Linked DNA regions of Mus musculus. The protein of the gene in region 3 interacts with the protein of the main gene of each other region in a pairwise test. Links are inferred from orthologs where the notes say so. Each region holds a gene or a part of one and is shown on either strand. Other genes may lie near its edges.

What was found. The genes of interacting proteins can lie anywhere in the genome.
Region 1: the proteins of Abi3 (region 3) and Was interact in binary tests that used the Homo sapiens proteins (3 or more experiments, as listed by UniProt). The two-hybrid records come from large-scale screens. The link is inferred for Mus musculus from reciprocal best matches to the Homo sapiens genes ABI3 and WAS.
Region 2: the proteins of Abi3 (region 3) and Nupl1 interact in binary tests that used the Homo sapiens proteins (3 or more experiments, as listed by UniProt). The two-hybrid records come from large-scale screens. The link is inferred for Mus musculus from reciprocal best matches to the Homo sapiens genes ABI3 and NUP58.
Region 4: the proteins of Abi3 (region 3) and 9330159F19Rik interact in binary tests that used the Homo sapiens proteins (3 or more experiments, as listed by UniProt). The two-hybrid records come from large-scale screens. The link is inferred for Mus musculus from reciprocal best matches to the Homo sapiens genes ABI3 and KIAA0408.

The regions. Positions count from the first base shown.
Region 1 is NC_000086.7:8,083,126-8,089,579, reverse strand, and holds part of Was (wiskott-Aldrich syndrome protein homolog), read left to right. Parts: intron 1-237; coding exon 238-324; intron 325-441; coding exon 442-544; intron 545-664; coding exon 665-706; intron 707-802; coding exon 803-856; intron 857-1,644; coding exon 1,645-1,819; intron 1,820-2,607; coding exon 2,608-2,650; intron 2,651-2,862; coding exon 2,863-3,016; intron 3,017-3,283; coding exon 3,284-3,738; intron 3,739-3,959; coding exon 3,960-4,074; intron 4,075-6,454. UniProt on the Homo sapiens protein: Effector protein for Rho-type GTPases that regulates actin filament reorganization via its interaction with the Arp2/3 complex. Important for efficient actin polymerization. Possible regulator of lymphocyte and platelet function.
Region 2 is NC_000080.6:60,243,877-60,250,567, reverse strand, and holds part of Nupl1 (nucleoporin p58/p45), read left to right. Parts: intron 1-3,101; coding exon 3,102-3,244; intron 3,245-5,904; coding exon 5,905-6,054; intron 6,055-6,691. UniProt on the Homo sapiens protein: Component of the nuclear pore complex, a complex required for the trafficking across the nuclear membrane.
Region 3 is NC_000077.6:95,833,806-95,840,496, reverse strand, and holds part of Abi3 (ABI gene family member 3), read left to right. Parts: exon of another isoform or gene 1-3,085; coding exon of another isoform or gene 3,086-3,259; coding exon 3,260-3,427; intron 3,428-4,542; coding exon 4,543-4,719; intron 4,720-6,105; coding exon 6,106-6,191; intron 6,192-6,398; coding exon 6,399-6,494; intron 6,495-6,691. UniProt on the Homo sapiens protein: May inhibit tumor metastasis. In vitro, reduces cell motility.
Region 4 is NC_000076.6:29,216,055-29,222,745, forward strand, and holds part of 9330159F19Rik (uncharacterized protein KIAA0408 homolog), read left to right. Parts: intron 1-1,898; exon of another isoform or gene 1,899-2,000; 5' UTR 2,001-2,065; coding exon 2,066-2,242; intron 2,243-5,731; coding exon 5,732-6,076; intron 6,077-6,166; coding exon 6,167-6,246; intron 6,247-6,691.

The DNA of each region.
Region 1 (6,454 bases), on a different chromosome or scaffold from region 3:
GGAATCTTAAATTCACAACGTGGAGCCTTCAACTCCTACATATAGGCTTTGGCTCCCAAACCCATATCTCTCATATCGGTGTCTGACTCTCAGACACCTAGAACCCAAACTCTGATAGTGAGCTGAAGCTGAAGAGCTTTAAATAAAACCCCGGGACACCAAACCTGGACACCATGCTCCAGTGGTCTGCCACCCAAGATGCCTGGATTTCAGCATGCACCTCCCCCCACTTTCCAGGCTGGTCGGCTACTCTGGGAACAGGAGCTGTACTCTCAGCTGGTTTATCTCACTCCCACCCCGTTCTTCCACACTTTTGCTGGAGATGTAAGTGAGCAGCTTGTGCATCCTTGCGCTGCAGTTGGGGGGGATGGGGAGGAGATGAGAAAGTCCCGGGGATGTGGGGGGCGTACTAGAAGTTTGCTGACCCCAAGGCATGTATAGGACTGTCAAGTAGGACTGAACTTTGCGGATGAGAGTGAAGCCCAGGCCTTCCGGGCCTTGGTGCAGGAGAAGATACAAAAAAGGAATCAGAGGCAAAGCGGAGGTAAGGAGGCCTTGGTGGGAATTGGGGGGAGGTAGGTTAGACAGAGGTGAGTGCACGGGTGTGAGGCTGGAAAAGCCCCTCTCATGGTTTTGGCTCTCAGTCCACCCTATTTAACCACAGAAAGACGCCAGCTACCACCACCACCAGCACCAATCAATGAGGGTGAGTCCTCTCGTTCAAATAAAGGTTATGAAGAACTAACCCAGAGATGTGGGGGAGCAAGATTAGGGCAGATCTGAACTCATTCCATTTTTCCAGAGAGAAGAGGAGGGCTCCCACCTGTGCCCCCACACCCGGGTGGAGATCATGGGGGTAAGTGGCAATTCTCACATCACTGGAGAGATGGTGGGGGTTAGTAGATGAATGAGTACTTGAGTCTGTCTGTAAATTCATAAAGAGGTGGATGGTGGGTGGACAGATGAGCACGGTGATAGATTGGTGGCAGACATGGCTAAATTGGGAGATGGACTGATGATGGCTTATAGATAAATAGGTACATGAGTATTTGGGTAAATGGATGAAAACTTACTTGCATTTAAGTAATGAATAGGTGGTTCAGAGAATTCATGAATGGGCATGTAAACAGATGAACAGTGGACAAAGAGGGCCGCTGAGATGGAACAGCGCTTGCCACCAAGCCTAGACACCATCGTTCTAGCCCCAGAATCCACATAAAGATAGGAAAGAAACAATTCCACAAAGTTGTCCTCTGACCTCCACACATGTGCCTTGCACGCACACACACATAATATACATTTAAAGAATTCAATCACAAAAGTGGGATGAGAGAATATTCTATCCAAGGAAGATCAAATGATTAGGTGTGAATGAATGAATAACTTAATAAGCTTTTTAGCCAACCAGCCAGAGAATGGATGAGTCAGTACTTGAATGGTAAAGACACATGAATTGGTGACTCTTTCAGTGTTTTTTTGGGATCCATCCACCGCTCTGTAGGCCTTGTTTAGACCTCTCTCATCTGTTTCCTCCATGTCCATCAAACATATCCACAAACTTCTCCAATGAGCTTTCTATTTCTTGCCCCTGGGCTTCGGCTAGTAAGTGCGTTGGCCAGTGGTTCATTCACCATTTTTCCACAGGCCCATCAGGTGGTCCACTATCTCTAGGACTTGTGACGGTCGACATTCAGAACCCTGACATCACAAGTTCACGATACCGTGGGCTCCCTGCACCTGGCCCTGGCCCAACTGATAAGAAACGCTCAGGGAAAAAGAAGATCAGCAAAGCTGATATCGGAGCACCGAGTGGATTCAAGTGAGAACTTCTTCCCGTAGGATCCCAATGGGTGGGAAAGCATCTGAGCTGAGCAGAGGGAAACACAGGCAGATGGGTGAATGGGAAGAATTAATTAATGGGCTGAAGAATGAACGCGCAGGTGATTGGTAGGAGTGGGTAGGTAGATGGGTGGGTGAGTGGATGACGATACAGATAGATTATGCAGGGATAGATAAACTGGACAGTCAAGTGGGTGAATGGATAGCGTATGATGAGTTAACACACATGTGGAGAGAACATGTAAAAATGCAAATGGATTGCCAAGTGTGGTGGGGCACTCCTGTAATCTCAGCACCTTTGAGAAAGAAGCATTATGGACAAGGGTTCATGGTGGCTCACAACCATCTGTAATGGGATCTGATGCCCTCTTCGGGTGTGTCTGAAGACAGCTACAGTGTGCTCATATACATAAAATAAATAAGTCTTTTAAAAAAAGAAAACAGCCCACAGATGAGAAAGAAAGTGGAGGAGGGGAGGAGGAGGAGGAAGAGGAAGAGGAAGAGGAAAGAGCAGCAGGGAGGAAGGAAAAAAGTAAATATGGGAGTAGATGGGTAGGCAAAGATGAAAAGAGAAATTGGTGGGCAAATTTGTAAAATTTGAGCAGATGGGCGGAGGGACAGGGACATGGCCAAGCCATGGTCTGACAGATGAATGGTAACCAAAATATTCGCTCACTTGCTCTGGCTTTTTGGAGGCCCTCTGGGAAGGAGAGGACAAGGGGTAAAGAGGACCCTGGGGCTTGATTGCCATCCCTTTCCCTTCTCTAGACATGTCAGCCACGTGGGCTGGGATCCCCAGAATGGATTTGATGTGAGTAGCTCCAAAGACGCCCCCCCCCCGAGCCCCACCCAACTTCCACATACTCTCCCATTGACCAAGGCTCAGAGCCCATATCCAGACCGAGCCCTTCCCATAGCCCTCTTGGATACTTGGCTGTTCTGGCTATGGTGATAATCTGTACCCCTTCCTAATTCACTTTCTGCTTTTAACTCTGCTCTGCCCTTTGGTTCCCGCTGGAGCAGGTGAACAACCTAGACCCGGATCTGCGGAGCTTGTTCTCCAGGGCAGGAATCAGCGAGGCCCAGCTCACTGACGCAGAGACCTCCAAGCTCATCTACGATTTTATTGAGGACCAGGGAGGTCTAGAGGCTGTCCGGCAGGAGATGAGGCGCCAAGGTAAGCACCTTCTTCTCTGGTCCTGAAGGTTGTTATCCTAGAAATGTGTAAGAAAAAAATGAAGCTCAAGCCGGGCGTGGTGGCGCATGCCTTTAATCCCAGCACCTGGGAGGCAGAGGCAGGCGGATTTCTGAGTTCGAGGTCAGCCTGGTCTACAAAGTGAGTTCCAGGACAGCCAGGGTTATACAGAGAAACACTGTCTCGAAAAACAAAAAAGTGAACCTCAAAACTTAATGCACACATAAATGTCATTTTACCCCTCTGCAGAGCCACTCCCACCACCTCCGCCGCCATGCAGAGGAGGAGGAGGAGGAGGAGGAGGAGGAGGAGGAGGAGGAGGAGGAGGAGGAGGCCAGCCTCTGAGACCTCCTGTTGTGGGGAGTAATAAGGGTCGCTCAGGTCCACTGCCCCCTGTACCTATGGGGGGTGCCCCACCTCCACCAACACCACGAGGGCCCCCACCACCAGGCCGAGGGGGTCCTCCTCCACCACCCCCTCCAGCCACTGGACGATCTGGACCACCACCTCCTCCACTCCCTGGAGCTGGGGGACCACCAGCACCGCCACCACCACCACCACCACCACCACCTCCACCCTGCCCTGGGAGTGGGCCCGCCCCTCCCCCGCTCCCTCCTACTCCAGTGTCTGGGGGGAGCCCAGCACCTGGTGGGGGCCGGGGTGCACTTTTGGACCAAATCCGGCAGGGAATTCAGCTGAACAAGGTAAAGATGGGCAGGATAGATAACGGGGGATCTGTGTAAGTCAGAAAATTGTGGACCATGGTTGAGATTCTGGGTTTTGGGGGAATCCAGTGATAAATTGGAGATCGGTGTGGTCCCTTGAAAGAGACTGGAGTGTGTGAGAGAAGAAATGAAGAAAGGGCAGGAGAAGTGCTCTTCTCCCAGTCCTGAGCCCTCCTCTGTGCGCCAATCTCTTGCTGCAGACCCCTGGAGCTCTAGAGAACTCAGTACAGCAACCACCCGCGCAGCAGTCAGAAGGCCTAGTAGGTGCCCTGATGCATGTCATGCAGAAGAGGAGTAGAGTCATCCATTCCTCAGGTGAGCCTGCTGTGCCAGAATTGTGACCTGACTCCCAGGGCTAGCTAGAAGTGGCTTGCAAACAGCTCCAGGTATTGTTCTTATTGGTGACACTAGGAGGCCCATGTATGTGGTGAATATATATATATATAAAGTCGTCAGGCAGCAGTATTATAATTAAGTGGAGTGGATCTTTGGCAGTAATATTAACATATGCCAGGGTATTCCCACAGTATGAACATTAACCACATACGTTCAGTGATCATTAGTTGCGTGACAAGACTTTTCTTACCCTAAATAGGGAGCCCATGACAGAGCGAAGTACCACCGAAGTCCAACGTGGTGAATCAATGAGTTTTATTGGGGTCACTTACAGGAATATGGGTGAGGGGTTATTTACAGGAACAGATGTGATTCAAGACAACTGTATCACCAAAGCCCAACACAGCATGGGTGACAGCTCATAAAAGCTAGGAGCCTGGAGCCTGCAGGCTGATAACAGGCTGGGAAGTGTCTTTCCCAAGTGACTCTGGTCTAAACCTCTTCCAGGCAGCTGGTCTGGTCTTCTTTGTGGTTGGCATGTCTTGAGAGTGACTCACAGTAGTCTTTATTGCTTATTCTGAGAGGAAGGGGCCTGGTGAATCTGGTCAGTTCCAGAGGCTTACTGAAGCCATTTTGAGTTGTTTACCTTCGGGCTTAAGCGGATGGAATACTTCAATCTTCATCTCAGAGGAAACTGGTAGACAGCATTAGCTCATCACGTGAAAATTCTGTTATAAAGCACTCCATCTTTGGTTAAAAGCACTGGCTGCTATTCCAGAGGACATGGGTTCAATTCCCACAGCCCAGATGGTAGCTCAAAACTATCTTTAAACTCTTGTTCCAAGGGATCTGGCAGTGTCTTCTGGCCCCCACAGCCACCAGGCACATACTCGAGGCACAAATGTACATGCAAGCAAACACTGATGCATAAAATGATAAACTTAAAAAAATAACAACTCCATCTTAGCTGAGGTGGTATGGTGGTACATGTCTTTAGCCCCAGCACTTGGGAGGCAGAAACAGGTGAGTCTCTCTGAGTTCAAGACCAGCTTCATCTACATAGAGAGTTCCAGGGTAGCTAAGGCTACATATGGAGACCCTGTCTCAAAACAAATCAAAGTGTTTAAGGGATGACTAAAAGGCACCTGCTGCCAAGCTGGATGACGTGAGTTTGAGTGACATCCAGCATTCATATGGTGGAAGTAGAGAATCGGTTCCTGCAAGTTATCCTCTGACCTCCACATTCACACATGGACCCACACACAAATGAATAATGACATAACTTTAAAAAGATGAACCTCCATCTTTGGCAATCACATTACCATTAAATCCAATAATTCACAGAAGCACATCAACTCATGGTATGCTAATATAATTAGTCATTTTGGGGCAAAGGTATGTAATGATGCGTCATGAATGTCCACATCATCGTTGTACAGGGGCCATGCTAATCTTTGTATCACTCCATATGCTCTGTGTGTGCTGTCAGACACTAGCCTAGCCTTTCTACGATGTTAAGAACTGACTGTGCCAATTATATTGTCATTAACCCGGGATGTGGGGATAATACTAATCTTGACCTAGTTCCAATAGGTTGAGAGCAGGTACCCAATAATGTCATTAACTCCAACTTCACAATAATATTAATATTAACCTAAGTTTGTCTGCAAGACTAATGTGAATTCATTGTGTGATGATATTCTAACAAATGTCATTTGACAGTATTCTCATTAGCTTCATTCTGAACTGGCAGTATTAGCATAAATGCACCAAGAAACAGTAATAAATTACCCAAGTATTGCTGATGTTTAAACCTGCCATATTTAGCAACAAAGGAGTTAGAATGAATGTTCAGACTAAGAACATGTGGTTGTTATGTGAGGCAAGGTCTCCTGCAGCACAAACTACATGATATTGAGCTTCGGAGCTTCGAGATTCCACCTCCCCGGGGCTGGGATGACAGGTGTGCAACACCACTCCAAGTTTCTGTGGTGCTGGGAACCGAACCTAATGCTATCCTGGAACTCACTCTGTAGACCAGGCTGTCCTCGAACTCAGAAATCTGCCTGCCTCTGCCTCCCAAGTGCTGGGATTAAAGGCGTGGGCCACCACTGCCCGGACTAATGCTTCTTAAACTGTCTAACCACTGAGCCACATCCCTAACCATGTGTACTTTGTACTTTCTTCTCTCTCTCTCTCTCTCTCTCTCTCTCTCTCTCTCTCTCCCTCTCCCTCTCCCTCTCTCTCTCTCTCTCTCTCTCTCTCTCTCTCTCTCTCTCTCTCTCGGTTTTTCGAGACAGGGTTTCTCTGTGTAGCCCTGGCTGTCCTGGAACTCACTTTGAAGACCAGGCTGGCCTCG
Region 2 (6,691 bases), on a different chromosome or scaffold from region 3:
GGGATTCCAAAAAGCTATTTCACTGAAAGCATTAATCACTCAGACTCGGCCTTTGGTAAAGAGTTGATCAAATGAGGAAATGTGTACTCGAAGGACAGGTATCTCCCGAGGCATAACAAGACCTATAGGCTTAATGTCTCAAAGAAAGCTCGCTCTCTCTCTCTCTCTCTCTCTCTCTCTCTCTCTCTTAACAGCCCCCGTTAGATACAGCAAATCCAAAATAACAGTACAATCAGACTGCCCCAGTTAAGTCCCATTTTTGCATATGCTTTCTTAATCTTCACTACCTATGTTGTCGAGACACAGGCGACGGTGTGCTCTGCTGTCTCTTTTAACTTTCACCTTGTTTTCTTGTGTCATCGATTAACTGGCTTTAGGTTTGTCGTTTTTAATGGTGTATCTTACTTAGTTCTTTTTTTTTTAAAGATTTTAATTATTTTTATTTAATGTGTGTGGGTGTTCTGCTTGCATCTGTGCATCATGGCTGTGCATTGCCCTTAAATACCAGAAGAGTCCGTCAGACACCCCCCCCCCCCAACCACCACCACTACCACACCACACCACACTGGAGTTAAGGCCCACTGTGAGCTACCAAGTTTTAAATTTAAAATGGAGGGATAGTTTGGGAAGTGGTGGTGCACGCCTTTAATCCCAACACTCTGGAAGCAGAGGCAGGCAGATTTCTGAGTTCCAAGCCAGCCTGGTCTACAAAGTGAGTTCCAGGACAGTCAGGGCTACACAGAGAAACCCTGTCTCGAAAAACAAAACAAGACAAAATATATAAATAGTATATATATTATATAAATATATATCATATATTTTATATATATAAAATGAAATAAAGTACTTTTAGTTTTAAGTCATGGGAGACTAACACAACAGAGTACTCCTGCCTTTACTCATCATTTGTAACTGCATTCTAGTTCTTTAAGAAGCTCCTTTGTCACTGTGACACTCTGCTTACTAGACATCGTCTGCTACTTGCCTTCCTATTGAAAGTATTCGTTTTAAGTGTTTAAATTGCAGCTTTCCCCTCTTGGGTTCCTAGGGTGTGCAGAAGACTGAATGACTCTTCTGGCTGACTGTGGGGTTGATAGTTCCTGGACCTAAGCAGCATGATATTCTGACCAGGACTGTGGTTGTCTTAATTTTAGCTAGCAATTGGTTGTTTTTTTAAATCGGAGCTATCTCTCCATCACCTTGCAGGTGGTTGGTGTGCTTGCCCATGCTCGCTTGAGTGCACGCGCTCTCTCGCTTGCTCTCTCTCTCATCTCTCTCTCTCTCTCTCTCTCTCTCTCTCTCTCTCTCTCGTGTGTGTGTGTGTGTGTGTGTGTGTGTGTGTGTGCGCGCGCGCCTGTGTATTTGGTAGACAAGCCTTCATCCCTGAGCCATGCCCAGCCTCTTTTTCAATGTTTTAAAACAAGTATTATGCTGCATTGAATGAAGGTCTTACAAGGTGGAAGTGCTGTCCTGTGGAACTGTACCCCATTGTTCCTTTCTACGTTTATTTCATGGCAGACTCAGAAGTCCAAGTTGACCTAGAACTCACTTGAAGCTTGGGTAGGCCTTGATTTGACAATCCCACTACTTAAGTAGCATATATTACAGACCTGTGCCACCAATTCTAGATGCCTTTTTCTTTTTTAATTTGAGACTGTCTCATTAAGTTGTCCAGGCAAACTTGAAATTTGTAATTTCCTGAATAACTGGGATTATAGGCATGCCACCGTACTTGTTGTGATTTTGGCTTTCAGAAGAAACAGAATTGGAAGTAATAAATACGTAACATGAGAAGTAAGAGTTCCCATTGTGTTTTATGTTCTATTAATTTTCCTATGTGATTTTTGAGGTATCAAATTCTTGAAACTTGTTGGTTATTTTTATAATCTTTCCCCCTATAGGTAGCAAACTTTGACCTCTAATGGTTGAGATGAACAGCTTTTTTTTTTTTTTTTGGTTGTTCGAGACAGGGTTTCTCTGTGTAGCCCTGGCTGTTCTGGAACTCACTTTGTAGACCAGGCTGGCCTCAAACTCAGAAATCCACCTGCCTCTGCTTCCCTAGTGCTGGGATTAAAGACGCCACAACTGCCCGGCTCCAGCTGTCCTTTATTTAGGTTTCCAGAAGCTATGTAAAGAGTTTCTTCTGTAAACATACAGTCTATTTTTTTTTTAAAAGATTTATTTATATTATATGTAAGTACACTGTAGCTGTCTTCAGAAACGCCAGAAGAGGGCGTCAGATCTCATTACAGATGGTTGTGAGCCACCATGTGGTTGCTGGGATTTGAACTCAGGACTTTTGGAAGAACAGTCAGTGCTCTTAACTGCTGAGCCATTCTCTAGCTCAACACACAGTCTTTACAGAGGACATGATACTTACTGTAGCAGTAAAGGAGCAGCAGTAACCTACCTAGAGTAACGTATGCATGTCTTTTTATGTGAGTCATTGTTGAACTATTGTAATTAGAAGTGTGGACTGTTCTCAAGTAGTTCAAAGGAAAAACAGTCATCTGTGGCCATTTAAAATATGCTAGGGGTCGAGTGAAGACTTGAGATTGAGAGCATTGTGTTCCTTGCTGATGTCTACTGTAGTCTTGTGATCTGACATCCTAATTGCAGTAGAGTGCTTTCCCAGCCTTGTTGTGTTCCTTGCTTTTGTAGTAGTGAAGTTTGAAATGTGCACTTGCTAAGCAAGGGCTACTGCTGCACTATGTCTCAGGCCACACTTTTCCTTAAATTTTGAGGTGTGGTCTTATTAAATTTCCCAGGCTGCCCGTGAATGCACTGTGTAGTCCACACGGGCCAAGAAGGTGTGATTCCTTTGCCTCCCAAATAGCTAACAGGTTCAGTACAAATTATTTAAGATGAAATGTATATTTATATTTATTTTTAAGGAGAAAAGGAAGGTGTTTGAATTTGTTAGGCGTATTTCTTTCAATGTCTTTTGGGTCATAGATTTTATGAGAGAAAACAATTTTAAACAGTTAATTTCTTTTTTTTAAATTTTTCAAAGTAAATATTAGCCATAGCAGACTTTTTTTTCTTTTTTCTCTCTCTCTCTCTCTTTTTTTTTTTTTTTTTTGTTTGTTTCTCTAAACAAGCACACCTTCTGTGGGACTCAACTTTGGATCTCTTGGAAGCTCTGTGACCCCAGCATCTACATCTGCTTCAGCTGGTGGTTTTGGAACAGGCCTCTTTGGATCTAAGCCTGCCACTGGATTTACTCTAGGAGGAACAAGTGCAGGTAAGGAGAATGGTCTTGTTCTTAGGGTAAATGAGATATTTCTTTCTTGGTTTCTGTCTTAGTCAGGGTTTCTGTTCCTGCACAAACATCGTGACCAAGAAGCAAGTCCATGTTGCTTTTCCTAACCAAAGGAAGTCAGGACTGGAACTCAAGCAGGTCAGGGAGCAGGAGCTGATGCAGAGGCCATGGAGGGATGTTCTTTACTGGCTTGCTTCCCCTGGCTTGCTCAGCCTGCTCTCTTATAGAACCAAGACTACCAGCCCAGAGATGGTCCCACCCACAAGGGGTCTTTCCCCCTTGATCACTAATTGAGAAGATGCCTTACAGCTGGATCTCATGGAGGCATTTCCTCAACTGAAGCCTGAAGCTCCTTTCTCTGTGACAGTCTCCATCTTCTGTCTTTATTTTAAAAGTCATCACTGCATCTCTGGAATTGGATGTTTGTATTGGTGAAGGAGCCGCTCCAGAGAAGCATTTGAAAGTTGTAAACGTGAATCAAGATGGTTTTTTTAAATTATATACTACAGTATTTTTCATTAGTAAAGATGCTTAAGGCAGTTTACCAATATGTTGTAAATTTTGATATTAAAATAGGTAGAAAGTATAGTTCTTTAGTTTCTGGCACACATTTGAGTGGTAGCTTTTTGGATGATAGTACCTTATAGCTTTAGTACTTCAAATATCTTTTTTATTCTCAGGGAAAATGCTTGTGTTTGTTACTATAATCATATATCAGTCTTATTACAAGTATATTATTCTCTGAAAGTGGAATCTAGAAGGAAACCATCTTCATTGATCATTCAGTTTGTCTTTTGTTGTCACTGAGAATAGCAGCTACAGCTATAAAGTTAATTCTAAGTAAGAATTTTTGAGAAGAGAACAAACTGCTTTTCTAATGAATTGTGGATTTTCTCCTCTTGTACTATTTCAGTGTAGGAGAAAGAATAATTATAAAGAACTTTGTATAGATCCCACATAATGGTTTTTTCAAAGCCTTTCAGTATTTGGGTATATAAAAACTGAATGCTTCAATGTCATGCCTTTGTAAGTTAGAGATGTATTTTAAACATAGGTAGTTTTGGATGTGGAACCAAAACTTTCACTAGTTGCCTTAAAAAAAAAATTAACCAGAGACAAGGATTAAACCTCACAGACAGGGGCTGGATGGCTCAGTGGTTAAGAACACTGATTGTTCTTCCAAAGGTCCTGAGTTCAAATCCCAGCAACCACATGGTGGCTCACAGCCATCCATAATGAGATCTGATGCCCTCTTTTGGTGTGTCTGAAGACAGCTACAGTGTACTTACATATAATAATAAATAAATCTTTAAAAAAACGAAAAAAACTTACTTAAAAAAACAAAACAAAACAACAACAACAACAACAACAAAAAACCAAAAAAACCTCACAGAAATAAAGGCAAGTGGTCTTCCACTGAGAGCTGTGCTCCCAGCCCCATAATTCTGTGATGTTATAGATAACTAAAAGTTTCACTTCGAGGACAGAACTGTTAACATCTTACAACTTTTCAGAGACAACCAGGGTTTGCTTCTAAGACTGTCACATAGTCTTTTTTCCTCTAAGGAGTCATAGACCTAAAAATGTAATGAACATAAATCCACATCCAAAACTACCTATAATGTTTTCCAGGGTGCCAGTAATCTAACAATATTTTTGAGATAAAATTAATAAGATTTGGAACTAAAGCAATGCAAAAGAAGGACAATGTGTCAGAGTTTCTGCCTTGAGTGATTGAATTGACTGGTGAGGGTATTAGCTGGCTTTTGTGTTGTGGTTAGATGCATGACTCAAAGGGACATCAAGATCCACCAACCAGTAGGGATTCAGGTAGGCATAGATTCAGGCTCATGGAAGGGTGTGGTAGTGCATGCTGTGCTTTCAGTAGTAGGGAGGCTAACACAGTAGTATTGCTGTGGATACTTAGTGAGATACTGCCCTAGTAAACCAAAGAAGCTGGTGCCAGTTAGGGTTAGATTCCTGTAGCTGTGGTTGGAATGATGAAACTGGAGAGATCAGTGGTGTAAGCAGCAGCAGAACTCTGGGAGCAATGCAGGAAGGAGATGTACAGGCAAAGCCTGAAAAGGAGGAGTGAGGAGAGGGCTTGGTACTGGAGTCCAGAGGAAGAGGATTTCCAGGAGTAAGGTCTGGGTGGGACAGGAGGGGCTATTTTTCTGTTGAGAGCAAAGCAGGTGGAGGGAATAAGTGCTACTGTACGAAAGCCTGGGGGGGGGGGGGGAATTGAAATTGATCACAGTATTAGAGTGGTTGTTTTTGCATTTTTCTTTGGTTGCTAGCCCCGCAACCAATCCCCACCCCCCTCCGCTTTCTGAGACAGGGTCTCACTGTGTTGCTCTGACTGTTTTGGAACTTATATACCAGGATACCAGGTTGGCTTAGCATTCAGAGATTGCCTGGCTCTGCCTCCTGAGTATTGCGATCAAAGGTGTGAACCACCACACCCATCTTTTAGTTCTTTTTCTTAACCCGAAGGTTTTATATTCACCATAATTTAGTCCTGACTTGTGTATCTCTATTCTACTTAGGGTAGATAGAGAAAAGGATCCCAGACATAAAATACTCATGAAGACCAGCATAATATCTGTATGATTAAGATAAAAATGAGATTTTTTTTTAAACAGGAACAGCAGCAACAACATCTGCGTCTACAACAGGCTTCAGTTTAGGATTCAGTAAACCTGCGGCATCTGCCACACCATTTGCCCTGCCTGTCACTTCTACCTCAGCTAGTGGTCTTACTCTCTCATCTGCTCTGACATCAACTCCAGCAGGTGAGACAGAATGGGAAGAAAGTTGAATTTGTTGGTTATAGTAAAGTTTTTTCCAGTTAGCGAGCGAATACCCAGTAACCATTTAAATTAAACAACTCAGGGGTGGGGAGATGGTTCAGTAGGTAAATTGTTTTGCTGTACAAGCATAAACACTTTTAAAAGCACAACTATACTTTGGGAAATTTATTTGAATTAGTTATTGATTTTGTCCTACTGATCTATTGCCTTTTCAGTCAGGTTTAGTGGTCCACACCTGTGATTTGGGAGGGAGCCACAGGGGGAACTTGAGTTTAAGGCAAGGATTGGCTAGGTAACAAGACTTTATCTGGAAAAATAAGTTAGCATTGGCTATTAAAGCTGTTATGACTATCTTGAAATATGGTCTCTACTACTTACATAATAAACAGAGTCAAAGGGTAGAGATGTTTTTATTGTCTGTTTTTAAGAGATTGTTAAGAGATTGGCAGAAAGTGTAAAGATGTTTGTACTTACCTAGTTCATGATTCATTTACTTTTAAAGGCAGAATTGTTGGCTGGGATTAAAAACTATATTGTTGTTTAGAGTTAGTTACTGGGTGCCATTGTAATAGCTCTCAAAGCTATTTTGTTGGATGAGGGGGAAATAGGGTCACTAGTT
Region 3 (6,691 bases):
AACCAAACTCAGCAAAGCAAAATCCCAAATCAAAGAGCAGCTAGGATTCTGACTCCTGTGCCCAGTGCTACCTTGAGTGTCATTCCAGTGTGTGTGTGTGTGTATGTGTGTGTGTGTGACACTGAGTGACCAGCCTGATGATCTGACATGTGGTTTATTACCAGTCCTGCCTGCCCTGCACTTAGGCATTCTCCTTCCCTGGCAGGGATGGAAATAGGCCTTTCCGTTCCATCGGTGTCTTCCCACACCTCAAAGTGCTGCTAGTGGGTGCAATCCCACATGTGTAATTTGTGTGCACGCAGGATCTGAAGTCACAAAGCTGAGTCACCAGGTCTGCCACCTATTTACGTAGAAATGTGTAGTATGTTTCCCATTGAGGGGTCTTTCTCTCTCTCTCTTCCTTCCTTCCTTTCTTCCTTCCTTCCTTCCTTCCTTTCTTTCTTTCTTTCTTTCTTTCTCTCTCTCTCTCTTTCTCTCTTTCTTTCTGTCTTTCTCTCTCTCTCTTTCTTTCTTTCCTTCTTTCTTTTTTCCATCCTTCCTTCCAATATTGCCACTCTGTAGCTCAGGCTGGCCTTGAATTTATGACCTGCCCAGCTTCCCCCCAAATCCCCCCAAAGACTATTCCAGGCCTGTGCTACCATTTGGGGGTGGGATGGGGTTCCAATTAAACTCTATACCTTCTCTAGGCTGGTTACAAGTACTAATTGGAACAGTGTGTTAAACCATTTGCCCAGGGCCCATCATCCTTTAAGAAGGGCAGAATAAATAAGTGTATCTGCTGTGGCTTCTATTACCATTTCAGAAGGATAAAAGGCACGTGCTAGTGATAAAGTCCCATTCTATCCAGGTGACAGCCTTTGCAAACACACTCAGGGTATCGGAAGCCCCGAGACCCAGGTTGGAATCCCTGGATTCTTTTGTGTAGAGTTCTGGCCCCTAGCCATCCCTGACTGTCTACAGAGGAAAAATTTGGGGTGATGTCTTTAATAAAGTCTCTGTCCCATCTTTCCCCAACTAAGTGTCAGAAGCCCATGCAGGAGGCAGATGGGTCAGCATAGGTCAGGGTTGACTGAGCGTAAAAACAGGGTCATTTGCATGACAGCTTAGGTGAAGGATCTCAGGCCCTTGCTCCTCCAGACCTGACTTTGGGACAAGTTTAAAGCTAGAGGTTAGTTAGAAACATCTGGGCTAGAGGAACCCAGAGCTGGGCCCAAACAGGCACCTTTCTTGTTTGGGTTGCAAAGTCCATGTGCCAGGCTGGGTACCAGGCAGAGGGAGCCTGTTTTCTTACCTATGAAACAAAGACCTAGAGCGAAGCCTGCAGCCCTCTCTAGCTTCTCTGCTTAGCCAATATTTTGGGTGGCATATGCTGATGAGATGTAAATTTTATTGCATATGCAGATGACATGTAAATCAGCACACAAATGAACATCGGTTTCCTGCTGTCAGAACAGAAAAGCAGGGAAGGGAAGGACCATGGCGCGGGTTTTTCCAGAAGGTTCTCTCTAGTTCAGGTTGCATGAGGGGAACCCAGAGGAATCTCACAGAGGATACAACTCTTATAGCACCAGTGGTGGGGCCCATGGAGCACACAAAATCCCAAGCAAGGAGGCCACAGGGGTGCAGCCTTGCCTGTCAGTACACTGCCCCTTCTAATTTGCCTTGGTCTCACCTCTACCTCCCCACACCACCCAAAAGGACAGGCTTCCGTGCTCATGGTTGACGGGAAAGGAGGAAGCTGTTTGGTGAAGCAAGAGACCCAGGCCTGAAGGTCTGGTCTGGGACCAAAAAAAGCCCTCTTTTGTCTTTAGCCACTCTCTGGTCATCCCTTTCCCAGTGACTGGCAGTGTGGCCCTGGCCAGTGTCTGGCATGCCGTAGGAAGCTGCCCACCTCGTGTTGGGTTCTCCTTTGGCCTGTCAACCAGCCAACAAATGCACATGTATTAAGTATCTTCTGTGTGCTGAGGACTATGCCAGCATAGGATGCAAAACGGAATGGACCAGCTCTGTTTTCAGGGTGTTGATATTTGGATGAGGGAGGGGTGAAAAGAAAAAGAAAGAACAGGGCAAATATGATACGTCATAAATGCGAGCTGGGTAAAAGCTTAGGGCACTGAGAGAAGTGGAGACGCTGGAACCATCTAGTGAGAAGAGCTCTAAGAAGTGTAGGCGCCAAGGCCCTGAGGTAGGAACACAATCTCTCCTTCTAGGGATTAGAACGCCAGGAGCTAGTGTGGCTAGAGAGAAGCAAGGGATGTGTGTGTAAGGCAGAAGATAGTATCTTAAAGCCAACTGTGCATGGGCGGGTGGAGATGTCACACACCTTTGATCCCAGCATTCAGGGGGCAGAAGCAGGTGGATCTCTGAGTTTAAGGCCAGCCTGGTCTACAGAGTGAGTTCCAGGAGAGCCAAGGCTACTCTGTCTCAAAAAACATAGTAGTAGTAGTAGTAGTAGTAGTAGTACCAGCAACAGCAGTAATGCCAACTGTGCCATGGCACACACCTCTAATCCTAGCACATAGGAGATGGAGGCAGAAGGATATCAGGAGTTCAAGGCCAACCAGCTTTGGCTACACAGAGAATGTGAGCCTATACTACATGAAACCCTGTTTCAAAAAAAAAAAAAGAAAGAAAGAAAAGAAAAGAAAAGAAGGAAGGAAAAGAAGCGAAGCATGTTAGAAAGCTGTCAGCGGCAATGAGAGGATGAAGTCATTTGGCTCTGGGACACGCTGCCCATCTCTCGGTTCCTATACACCTTCCTGAGGGTTGGGGCTAAGGAAGTGCAAGGTCAGTAGGGGGCTGTCTCTCCTGGCCTTACTTTGGTTTGAGGACTTTGGTTTATAGGTAAGAGCCTGCTATTGGCTGGTTGAGTTTTAAGTGGCTGAATGTCTCCCCTAGCCAGCATCGCCTTCCCCTTCCTGTCACCAGCCAGCCTGCCAGGAGACACTTGCTGAGGGAGGCAGTAGGGTCCTCTCAACTCTGGCCTCACCTCAACTACTGGAGGACAGGATTCCTGCCCCGACTCTCACAGCCAGTTCTCTCAGGCTGCGATCTGCTTTCCCAATGTTCCTTGCACTCTCCTCCCATGCCCCACTTACTCCAACACCATCCTTCTGGAAAGCTACCTCAGGCATCTAAGGACCGCAGCTTTCTCCAAGTTCAGCTCTGGCCTTCCTTAGATTCTCTTCTGGCTCCATCCGACTCTGCCAAGGAAGCAGTGGAATGTGCTGGCCTCGGGCCAAGGCTGTGTGTATTTCAGGCCACAGACAAGCGGAAGGCGCTGGAAGAGACGATGGCTTTCACCACCCAGGCCCTAGCCAGTGTGGCCTACCAAGTGGGTAACCTGGCCGGGCATACTCTTCGAATGCTGGATCTACAGGGTGCTGCCCTGCGGCAGGTAGAAGCCAAGATGAGCACACTGGGCCAGGTAAGGATGTGGGAAGGCATCCCTCTTTCTGTCCTGGCTCTTCAGTCCCACTCAAATAGCCCTACATTTCTCCATGCCCACCTGGCCAACCGGACTGCAGAAAGTTGGCACATTCCAGACTTTGGAGACATCTATCATGGCTGTGTCTCAGTGTTGTTCTTGCTACCCCATTAGATACAAAGTTTCTCTCTCTCTCTCTCTCCCTCTCTCTCTCTCTCTCTCTCTCTCTCTCTCTCTAAAAGCTTTCTTTGTTTGCTCTTCATAGTACCTGCAGAGAGCAGGAGAGACCAAAGGCCACCCTGTCTTCATTGGAACACATCCAATGATTAATAAATGCCCTCCACGCAGGCCAGGCAAGCCCATCGTCAGCCCCACAGGAATCCGTGCCAACACCATACAGAGTCCCCACCCTTGGCTCATAAATACCTACCCTTGGCTCATAAATACTCTCAGCCGTCCTTCCTGGATCCTTGACCCCACAAAACATGTGGGAGTTCTTTTGGTCTGACCATAGGTCCCTGAGGGGTCAGTGTATAGGGTGTGTTTTCCTCTTCTTCCTGAAGACCCAAGGTCCCGTCCCTCAAGGCCTGAGGGAACATTTGGAGAGGAAGCTAATTCCCGTACTTGTTCCCTGAAGGGGACAGCTGATTTAGTTACAGTTCTCTGCCACCTCCACGGAATGCCCATCTGCACCAAAGCCTGCCCTGTCCTTTGGTTGCTGTCCAGCAACCCCAGGGATTTTTTTTCCCTCCCTTTTCTTCTGGTTCCTGCACAGCTAATAATAACCTTCATTCTCTTCTACCCGGAAGTCGCTCCAAAGTGGCTCCATCCTCTGCTGCTCTTCTTTCTCCAATGGCTGCATGGCCATGGGACTCTCTCTGGTCCCCCCATGACCCCCATTCTTTCCTCCTCCCCTGCTTTGAGATGGGGGTTCTCACTATGTAGCCCTGGATAGCCTAGAACTCATCATATAGACCAGGTTGGCTTCAAACTCACAGAGCTCTACCTGCCTCCCTCTGCCTCCCGTTAGTTAGCTTTCTCCCTCTTTTAAAGGGAATGGTGTTGTACAGGCTGTTTCTCACGGTCTCCTCCCACCTCCCGACCCTGTCGTGCAGATGGTAAACATGCATATGGAGAAGGTAGCTAGAAGGGAGATCGGCACTTTGGCCACTGTTGTGCGGCTGCCCTCTAACCAGAAAGTCATCCCTCCTGAGAGCCTGCCTTCCCTCACTCCCTACCACAGAAAACCCCTCAACTTTGCCTGCTTGGATGACATTGGCCACGGAGTCAAGGTAAGGGAAACCCTGCTGACCCCCCACTGCCCACCCTGTCCTGCCGTACAGCTAGCTCCCTCTCGTCTCGCCTTTCCCCAAGCTTTTGTACGACCTCACATCCCCTTCTTCCTCTCCACACTCCAGGACACGTGGCCTAAACTCCACTCTCCCTAGGTCCTTAACTTCCCTCTACTCAGACACTGCTCCTGGAAGATCATAAGCTGTCCCGGCCCCACCCCCCACTCCCACCCCACAGTGGGTCGTGTGTGTGGTGTGTGTGTGTGTGTGTGTGTGTGTGTGTGTGTGTGTGTGTGTGTGTGTGAGAAGGGGAAGAGGGGGAGGAGGGGGAAGGGTGTCAGGGCACGCATGAGAACCTCTCCTCAGCCACATGAGAATAGCGACTTCCTCTGTCTGGGGGTTTGAGGTCATTGCTCTAAGAAGTCACTCCAGAATGCTGCTGATAGGGACAGGAGGCAGCAACAAAAAGAGTTGGCGGAGGGGACCTTATCACACTGTGCCCAACTGCTTCATGTCAGATTAGATTAGAAGCTTTCCTGGGTCTTAACCCCTTGATACTATGCCAGACCCCCAGGAGAGAAAATACCTCTTTCCTTCAGTTCCCAGCTCTCTCTATCCGTTCCTTTTTCCTGTCCAGCCTTCTTATCTTTTGTTTTTCTTTTGATGGTGCCCTGGGTGGAACCCAGGCCTTCTATAAACTCAGCAGAAGCTCCATCCTGAGCTATGTACCCAGCCTCCAACTTATCCTTTATCCTGTAATTCCCGTCTTGCCTCTAGTGGGGCAGGGTGACAGAGAACATGACCTCCCCCACACCATCCCCTCCCCTGCTCACGCTGGGGGAAGTCCCAGTTTCAGAGGTGTCTCTTGGCTTTGGGATTGCACCCCATCATTGAGACTCTCCTAAGTGTCTTGGCTTCTGCCATCCCTCTGCCTTGAATTTGGGGACGGTCACTTCCATAGGTTTCTGGGAAACAAGGAGTCCCCCCCCCCCCCGTATGTGAGGCTCCTTAGCTCGCGCTGGAGTACAAGCTAAATCAGAGCTAAGGACCACCAAGCCACCCAGATCCCTGAGAATTTGAGATAGTGTGGGGTTGCAAAGGGCAACTCAGTCACTGTGGCTGTGCAGAGGAAGTGGCCTTCAGACGGCGTCTGTGCTGCGGGTTGTTTTCTGTGGGACGGCTTTGGGGGACCTGCTGCAGGCCTAAGGGGTGGGGGTAGGGTTAGGACGGGAGGAGGGCTGAGAAGTGGAAGTAGGAACTTGCTGAGTCTGGCTAGCCCTCCCAGTTCTCGCCCTCCGCTCCCCTCCCCCATTTCCTCTCAGGGATGTGGGTAAGAATGCCTCCCCGTGTCCCAGATGTCAATCAACCCTATCGTTCTCCCTTCAGGACTTGAGCACGCAGCTGTCACGGACCGGGACCCTGTCTCGCAAGAGCATAAAGGCGCCTGCTACACCTGTTTCCGCCACGCTGGGGTGAGGCCTCAAGGCCATGCCAACCAGCCCTACCCAGCCACTCGTGGTTCTCAACTGCTTCTTCCACCCCTCACCCTCAGCACCTGGCGCCTTGACGCTGCTGCGCCTGGCACCCAGCTTCACCCTCCGCCAGTCGCCCTTCCTCAACCCTAAACTCTGCTCAGCAGAGAACCCTCCCTCCTCACACCACCCTACTCCACTCCCTAGGAGACCACCCCGGATCCCTGAGCCGGTGCAGCTCCCAGCCGTGCCAGACGGCAAGCTCTCCGCTGCCTCCTCTGCCTCTTCCTTGGCCTCGGCAGGGTGAGCACTTGAGTCTAGTGGGTGGGTAGACAGCAGGTGGATTTTGAGAGGTGGCCTCCAGGCAGTCTTGTGGTTGAGAAAACGAAAAACCACTAGCTGGGGGAAAAATTAATGCAGATCTTACTATGAGGTCTGGGGACCCCTCTGGGACGCTGGGCTAGAAGGCGTCCGTCCCTAATCAGCATATAATCTGGTCT
Region 4 (6,691 bases), on a different chromosome or scaffold from region 3:
TATTAGTAAAGTTTATGTAAAGCAAATCAAAACTCGAAATTCGGTAAACTCTTTACCTTCTTCCTTTTGTTAGATTTTTGTGGTCTGGCTTATAAATGGGGTGAGTAGCAAAAACAAACAAACAAACCAAAAAAAGAAAAAACCCCAAAAAGCAAAACAGAAAAAAAAGAAAAAACCAAAAAAAAACAAGACTAATGAAGAAGCAAAGGAAAAAAAATGAGGTTAGAAACAGAGAGTGAATGAGTGACAAAGGGTAATGAGAGCGTGTTTGTAACTAACTAGAAATTGTTTTCTTTTCTTGATTGAATTAATAATGATACTGTGAGTGACAAGAAAATATGCAAAAACTGCCAAAGGGCCACTGGTAGATGTTTTTTAAGGAACTATAGATACTAACATTTGAAAGGTTTTTTTGTTTTTCAAAAGAAAAAAAGAAAGAAAGAGAGAGACAGTGAGAGAGAGAGAGAGAGAGAGAGAGAGAGAGAGAGAGAGAGAGAAAGGAAAAAAGAAAGAAAGGAAAAAAGGAAGGAAGAAAGAAAGAAATGGAGCCCTGCATAAAGAGCTATGTTTTTAATTCCTTGTAGTCTATGATCATTCATTCATAATCCTGACAAAAGAGAAGCCTGACAAAAGTAAAGCTACCTTTGATAGTCATCTAACATGTGAGGTGTGAAATATGCATCTATCTGCTGCAAATCAAATGCCAAGTAATTCTTACTGCATAATCATGCAGACTTGATTCTGCCAGACACAGTACAGATTCGTGCATAAGGAACAGGAAGGCTGTAGCATTGTGGCCATATACTAATAATTATGCTAATTGATTAGTTAATGATAATTAGTAATTAATTAGTAAGCTGGAAAATGAGGGTTTAGGTGTTTTATTTCTTCTCTTTTGAGTGTGTGTGTGTGTGTGTGTGTGTGTGTGTGTGTGTGTGTGTGTGTGGTGGGAGGTATGTGCATGTGTGAGTGTGGGTACCCACAGATTTCAGAAAAAACTTTTGGATTCCTTGAAGCTAGAGTCACAGATGGTTTTAAGTCACCCAGTTTAGGGCCTGAGATCCAGGCTTGGGTCCCCCATAAGAACACTGTGCAATCCTAAGAACACTGTGTAAATCCTGACCCATCTCTCTGGCCCCCATATCTGGCATATTAAATGGTCTCTTCAAACCCTAAATATTCATATGCTGAATATTAGAAATCACATTATTTTGGTCATTACTTAGTGTAACATAAAAAAAAACATTTTCCTATAGTTATTGTTCCGTAACTATTTCCTATAGTGATATTGTAGACATAAATAGTCCAGGTGAAAAACAAGAGGTCATGAACAAGTTTTAACACATGTTAAAATTCTCACGGGACAATAATGATTCTTTAGATTTTATTTCAGGAAGTAAAATAATGACCTTTTCAAATTTAAGATTAGGTTAGTTTCTTGCTGAGACATGAGCCTCTCTAGGTGACTACCTGCTTTGGGTCTTGGTACATCCTTCCTACGTTACATGGGCTTGACCTCTGAACTCAGTTATTCTGAACCGGCTCACAATCTTAAATCTTAGGCATATGTAACTAACTTGTACTGACACTTAAAGAGTTAATTCCATTTTAACAGAATCAGCACATCTAGGCAACAGAATCAGCACATCAGACTCAAACTCATGAATATTTATGAAGAAAGTCTATTTTTAGATTAAGCAGTTAGGTAAAGAGATATTTATATCATGCATGTACACTTAGCCAGCTTGTTCACTATAATTTTCCTGTTAATATCAAAACAGAAGAAAGGGTCTTAGGACCCTTTATTGACACTTTATTGACTGTGTTTTTTTTTTAAAAAACTCCTTTATAATCAGATTTTTGTTATCTTTTCCCTTCTTTTTGTTATTCTTCTATAGTTTAATTATGTCATTGACGGTTGACAAAAATGATATGTTGGCAGGAAGCACACAAGCCTGGGACACTGTCTTGTTATGTTTATCTCAGGCTTTATTTTAAAGGCAAGTGAGACCACTTCAAACCAAACAGTTTAACACTTCCAAGAACCAGCTAAGAGAAGGCAGAGATGAGCAGCAGCAGTCCTGTGGCTGACACTCACACAATTGCCACGGACCTCCATGAGCAGAGGGGGAGCACAGAGGCCAACCGGCATAAGGAAAAGATGGAGTTACTGGACCAGTTTGACAAGGAAAGAAAAGAATGGGAGAGTCAGTGGAAGATCATGCAGAAGAAGATCGAAGAGGTAAGGCTTGATTTATTTTAAATGTAGTGTTAAGTGCAAGCTTGAAATTAGAAGCCTGCTGACATGCATTTTATATCAGGAAGTGCTTTTGTGTTTCTTCTTCCACCAAAGAAATAAATGTCTTATGAAATTTACTAGAACAAAACTCGCTCAACTCAACTCCACCCGGTGGTATGTTTGAGACTACATTTATTTTATAATCTCGTATGGAAATGAAGACTTTGTAAATGTTATTCTACAATACATGAAATTTCTTATTCTCTGAATTCAGATGCACGGTACTGAAAGTAATGTATATATTCTGTATAAATGTTCAGATACTAGAACCTAGGAAGAAAATGCAGGAAATAATTTGTGGGACATATAGTGTTAAGATTATAACTTGGCACTAGAATAAAGAGTTTTCCTGGGATGATATCTGAGTAATGTATACCAAAGGATGTCAAGTTATTCAGCAGCATCAAAACGTATGCCATATGCCAAATAGAAAAGCAGCAGTGGCTACTTTTATTTTATTAGATTAATACCGACAGTGGTCCTCACATGCTAGCACACTTACTGGGAAATGGGTTATTAAAAAGGCATGCCATGGCTCTGATGTAGTCAGTGATTGTATTCTCCTTAATAATCTCCCAGTCAGCCCATACTTTGCTCTGAAATATTTCTTCCTTTGGTGGGTGTGCATTCAAGCTTCCTCCAACTGAAAGTTAACTATATTTATTTTGCTCTATTTTATTTAATACACAGAATTAAATTTTATGGTTTATTTAACAGATTGCTGGGCCCTTTTAAAAGCATATAAACAAAGTTAGTGCTTTGTATGTTTGTAACGCAAAAATACTTTTTTTCTGACTAACAACAAATAAATAGGTTGGGAATAAAATACAGAGTGAAAAAGTGGTCCACTAAAACAGAAAGCAAAGGAAAGGGACTATTACGTCCTTCCTCTAAAATAAGTTGAGATATCTATGATTAATGATTCCTTTGTGGTGCTCTACAAATTGGAAAACAGTTTCTACTTGCTTCCTTCCCTCTGTTCTTACCCAGGGACTTCCTACCTGTAGTTAAGACAACATTGTTGAGAGTATTCATAGTGTCTGTAGAGAAAATCTCAATCCTAGAAGGGTGTCTTCCTCTGGTTATGTAAATAATGATCAACAGTACGTAATGCTACGATAAAATGCTGGTAAAACAGAGGAAATAGTTTCACAGGTTAAAGAAAATAGACACTTGTTCTGAAAACTAAAAAACAAAACAAAACAAAAACACAATCATATAATTTTGAAAGCATAATGGAGTATTTTTGTTTAGTAAATATATTGTTTTACAAATATAGCATTTTGTTTAAAATTAATTGGTTCTAGGTTTTAATTTTTTTCAGGATATTGAGCCATGTACTAGAGAAGTGTGGATTCCCACGTATGCACCTGTAAAATCACCTGTAGTATCTCTTAGTGAAAGTATCCAACAGTGAGCATGGCGATGCTGTGCCTCTCTGCTGAGCCCATGTCCCCACGAATGTCAATGGCTATTGAAAATCCAGGATGTACATCCTCAGACCATTTGAAACTTAGAATAAACTACATATGAACTAGGATTATGGATACACTGAATTGATATCATCTTGAGAGTTTTCTGTTCACTTTGCACTCTTTACTGTTTGTATCTTTTCTGCTTGTGTCCTTTGTTAGAACAGTCATTTAGCTATTGACAAGGGCTGAGTATCAGCCCCTATACCAAGTAGTTCTCCACTCCTTACTGTGTACTAGGGTTTTTTTTTTTCCATTTCTGGACCAAATATCCATGAGAAGAAATAACAGCATAAAATTACATTATAAGGTAAATTACACCATAGCTATAATTGAAGGCTGAGATGAGTACAGTCAAGGGTCTTTCTGGGACCTAATATAGTTATCAGATGCAGAATAAAAAGCCATGTGTCATAAATAGCACAGTTTCCCCTGGATTTGAAGATATAGCCATCTCCTATTTATTCAGAAATCCCCCTCCCCTTTCGGTTTTTCAAGACAGGGTTTCTTTGTGTAACAGCTATAGCTATCCTGTGTCTTGCTTTGAAGACCAGGCTGGCCTTGAACTCACAGAGATCTGTCTGATTCCCAAGTGCTGGAATTGGTGAGCACCACCATATCCAACCTATTCAGGAATTTGTAGAAGAGAACACCACCACCAATAATATCCTTAAATGTATCATGGCACTTTGGGGGGATGTTCTTTATATCACTCATGTTGAATAGCAATTCAGTAAAGATAATTTATAGGCATAATTTTGTAAGCATCTAAACAATCAATTTACTATTGTAGTTTGGTGGCTTTCTTATATTAATCAATGAGATGAGTGATTAAAACTTTTATGAACTAAAAGCACCATGTATTCTTAATGTATTAATTATGTATGGTGCTTCTGTGAACTAAAGTATGTATAAATACTGAGTAAGTATATTGTTATTACAGACATTTATTGTGTTTGTGAAATATAGAGACATTTGCTTTCGAGTTGTTTGACTGTCTGTTTTGAAATATGATGAGCATGTCCAAGGTGTAAGCCTTAGGTGAATGTGTGTTCCTTCTTCACTTTATGGGTGAGCTAACAGAGTAGCCTCTGATTTGCATAAGTCCTCCTTAAGAAATAGTTTGGGATTGTCTTTAACAGAGGCAGTCAATGTTTCAAGCTTTAGAGCTCCGTTTGATCATATATAACACTGATGAATTTGTTTTAATCAGAATAAAGAACTTTTAAAAATGAATCTGTATCATTGTATCAATCAAGATATCACTGTAATATCTATACCTTGATAATTCAGTTGACCCACTGAGGGGATGATTAGCAAGGGCTTAGTTAGAGGGGAGAATATATTGCTTTACTGTATGATATGGACAGCTATTTAGACAGTTAATGTTGCTATATAATAGTGTAACAGTAAAACATATGATTTTATTAATGTTAAACTCTTGTTATATCCAAAAAGCACTTAGAGAGAACAGTCAGTAATTGATACAGCACAGTGTAATTCTGTGAATGTACTTTTTACATTCTGTGTAGATCCAGACTTACTTTATTTGACAATGAGTTGATTTCTCATCAGAAAAATAGAATGTAATGTCCATGCATTGCCTTACTAAAATTAGTCTTTATGGTTTATGGTTCCCCAAAACTTTTCTGGCTAATTCCTATTTTAGAGACACTGCCTATATACACAAGCATTAACACCAATGGTAGTACACTGTAATATTGCAGAGAGAACTCAAATGATTTGCTTAGTATTAGGAATATTGATCAAAGCTGCGAATACTGGCACACAGCTTTATTTCCAAGTCACACAGGCAGGTAGATCTTTAAGAGTTTGAAGCCACTCTGGACTTCAGAATTTGTTCTATGCTACCCAGGGCTACAAAGTGAGAATGCCTTTAAGAGAATTCATTGCTCAAGTAAATTAGGAAAAATAAGTTTTTAATTTTTAATTTTTACAGCTTTGCCAGGAAGTAAAGCTTCAGAGGAAGATGAACATGAATGAATATTCTAAGGTCATTGATCTTTGCCGTGATCAAGATAAAATGGAATTTCCCCCAAATCACCTCAACTCGGCACAATGCAAATTAAGAGTGCTGAATTACCGAGATGATCCAGAAAAGGAAAAGAAAACAGAAAGGAATTTCCTTGGGGAAGAAAGTCAAGGGTCTCCAAAACAAAACATACACACAGAAACCAAAGTGGAGTTTTGGAATCCTTTGGCCACAGACAGGAAGGCATGTGAGACCTGGGCTGGTGAGAACACTTCTAAGGAGAGCAAAGATTTTTCTGTCGCCCTTAACACAGTAAGTAAGATGGGGTCAGCCGGGAGCTATTTCTAAAGAAGCATTTCAGCACGCTAACAAAAGCTCTCTTTTATGTGCTATGCTATGAAGGCTCTTGAAGAACTTGCAAAAGTTAGTGAAGAATTGTGCACCTTTCAAGAGGAAATCCAAAAGCATTCTAACCACAGAAGGTAGGCTGGCTAACACATATGATCTCTGTAGACCAGAGAATAGAAAAGAATTCTGGTTTTATTTTATGAATTTACACTGACTCATCATGTATATCTTAGCTCATGATCCTTAAAAGTCATCTTCCAGTACTTTTCATAACTTAAGTATTAGGAATATTGTATTGAGCCGGTGCGGTGGCGCACGCCTTTAATCCCAGCACTCGGGAGGCAGAGGCAGGCGGATTTCTGAGTACGAGGCCAGCCTGGTCTACAAAGTGAGTTTCGGGACAGCCAGGACTATACAGAGAAACACTGTCTTGAAAAAGAAAAAAAAACAAAAATAAGGAATAGTGTATTGTATTCTTTCAGTGTTTAGGCAAAGTAGACAGTCTGTACAAAATGACTGTGTATCCTCTACTGAAGTTCTTTCTCCATCAGAGTTTTGACCAGAGGGGGAATATACAAA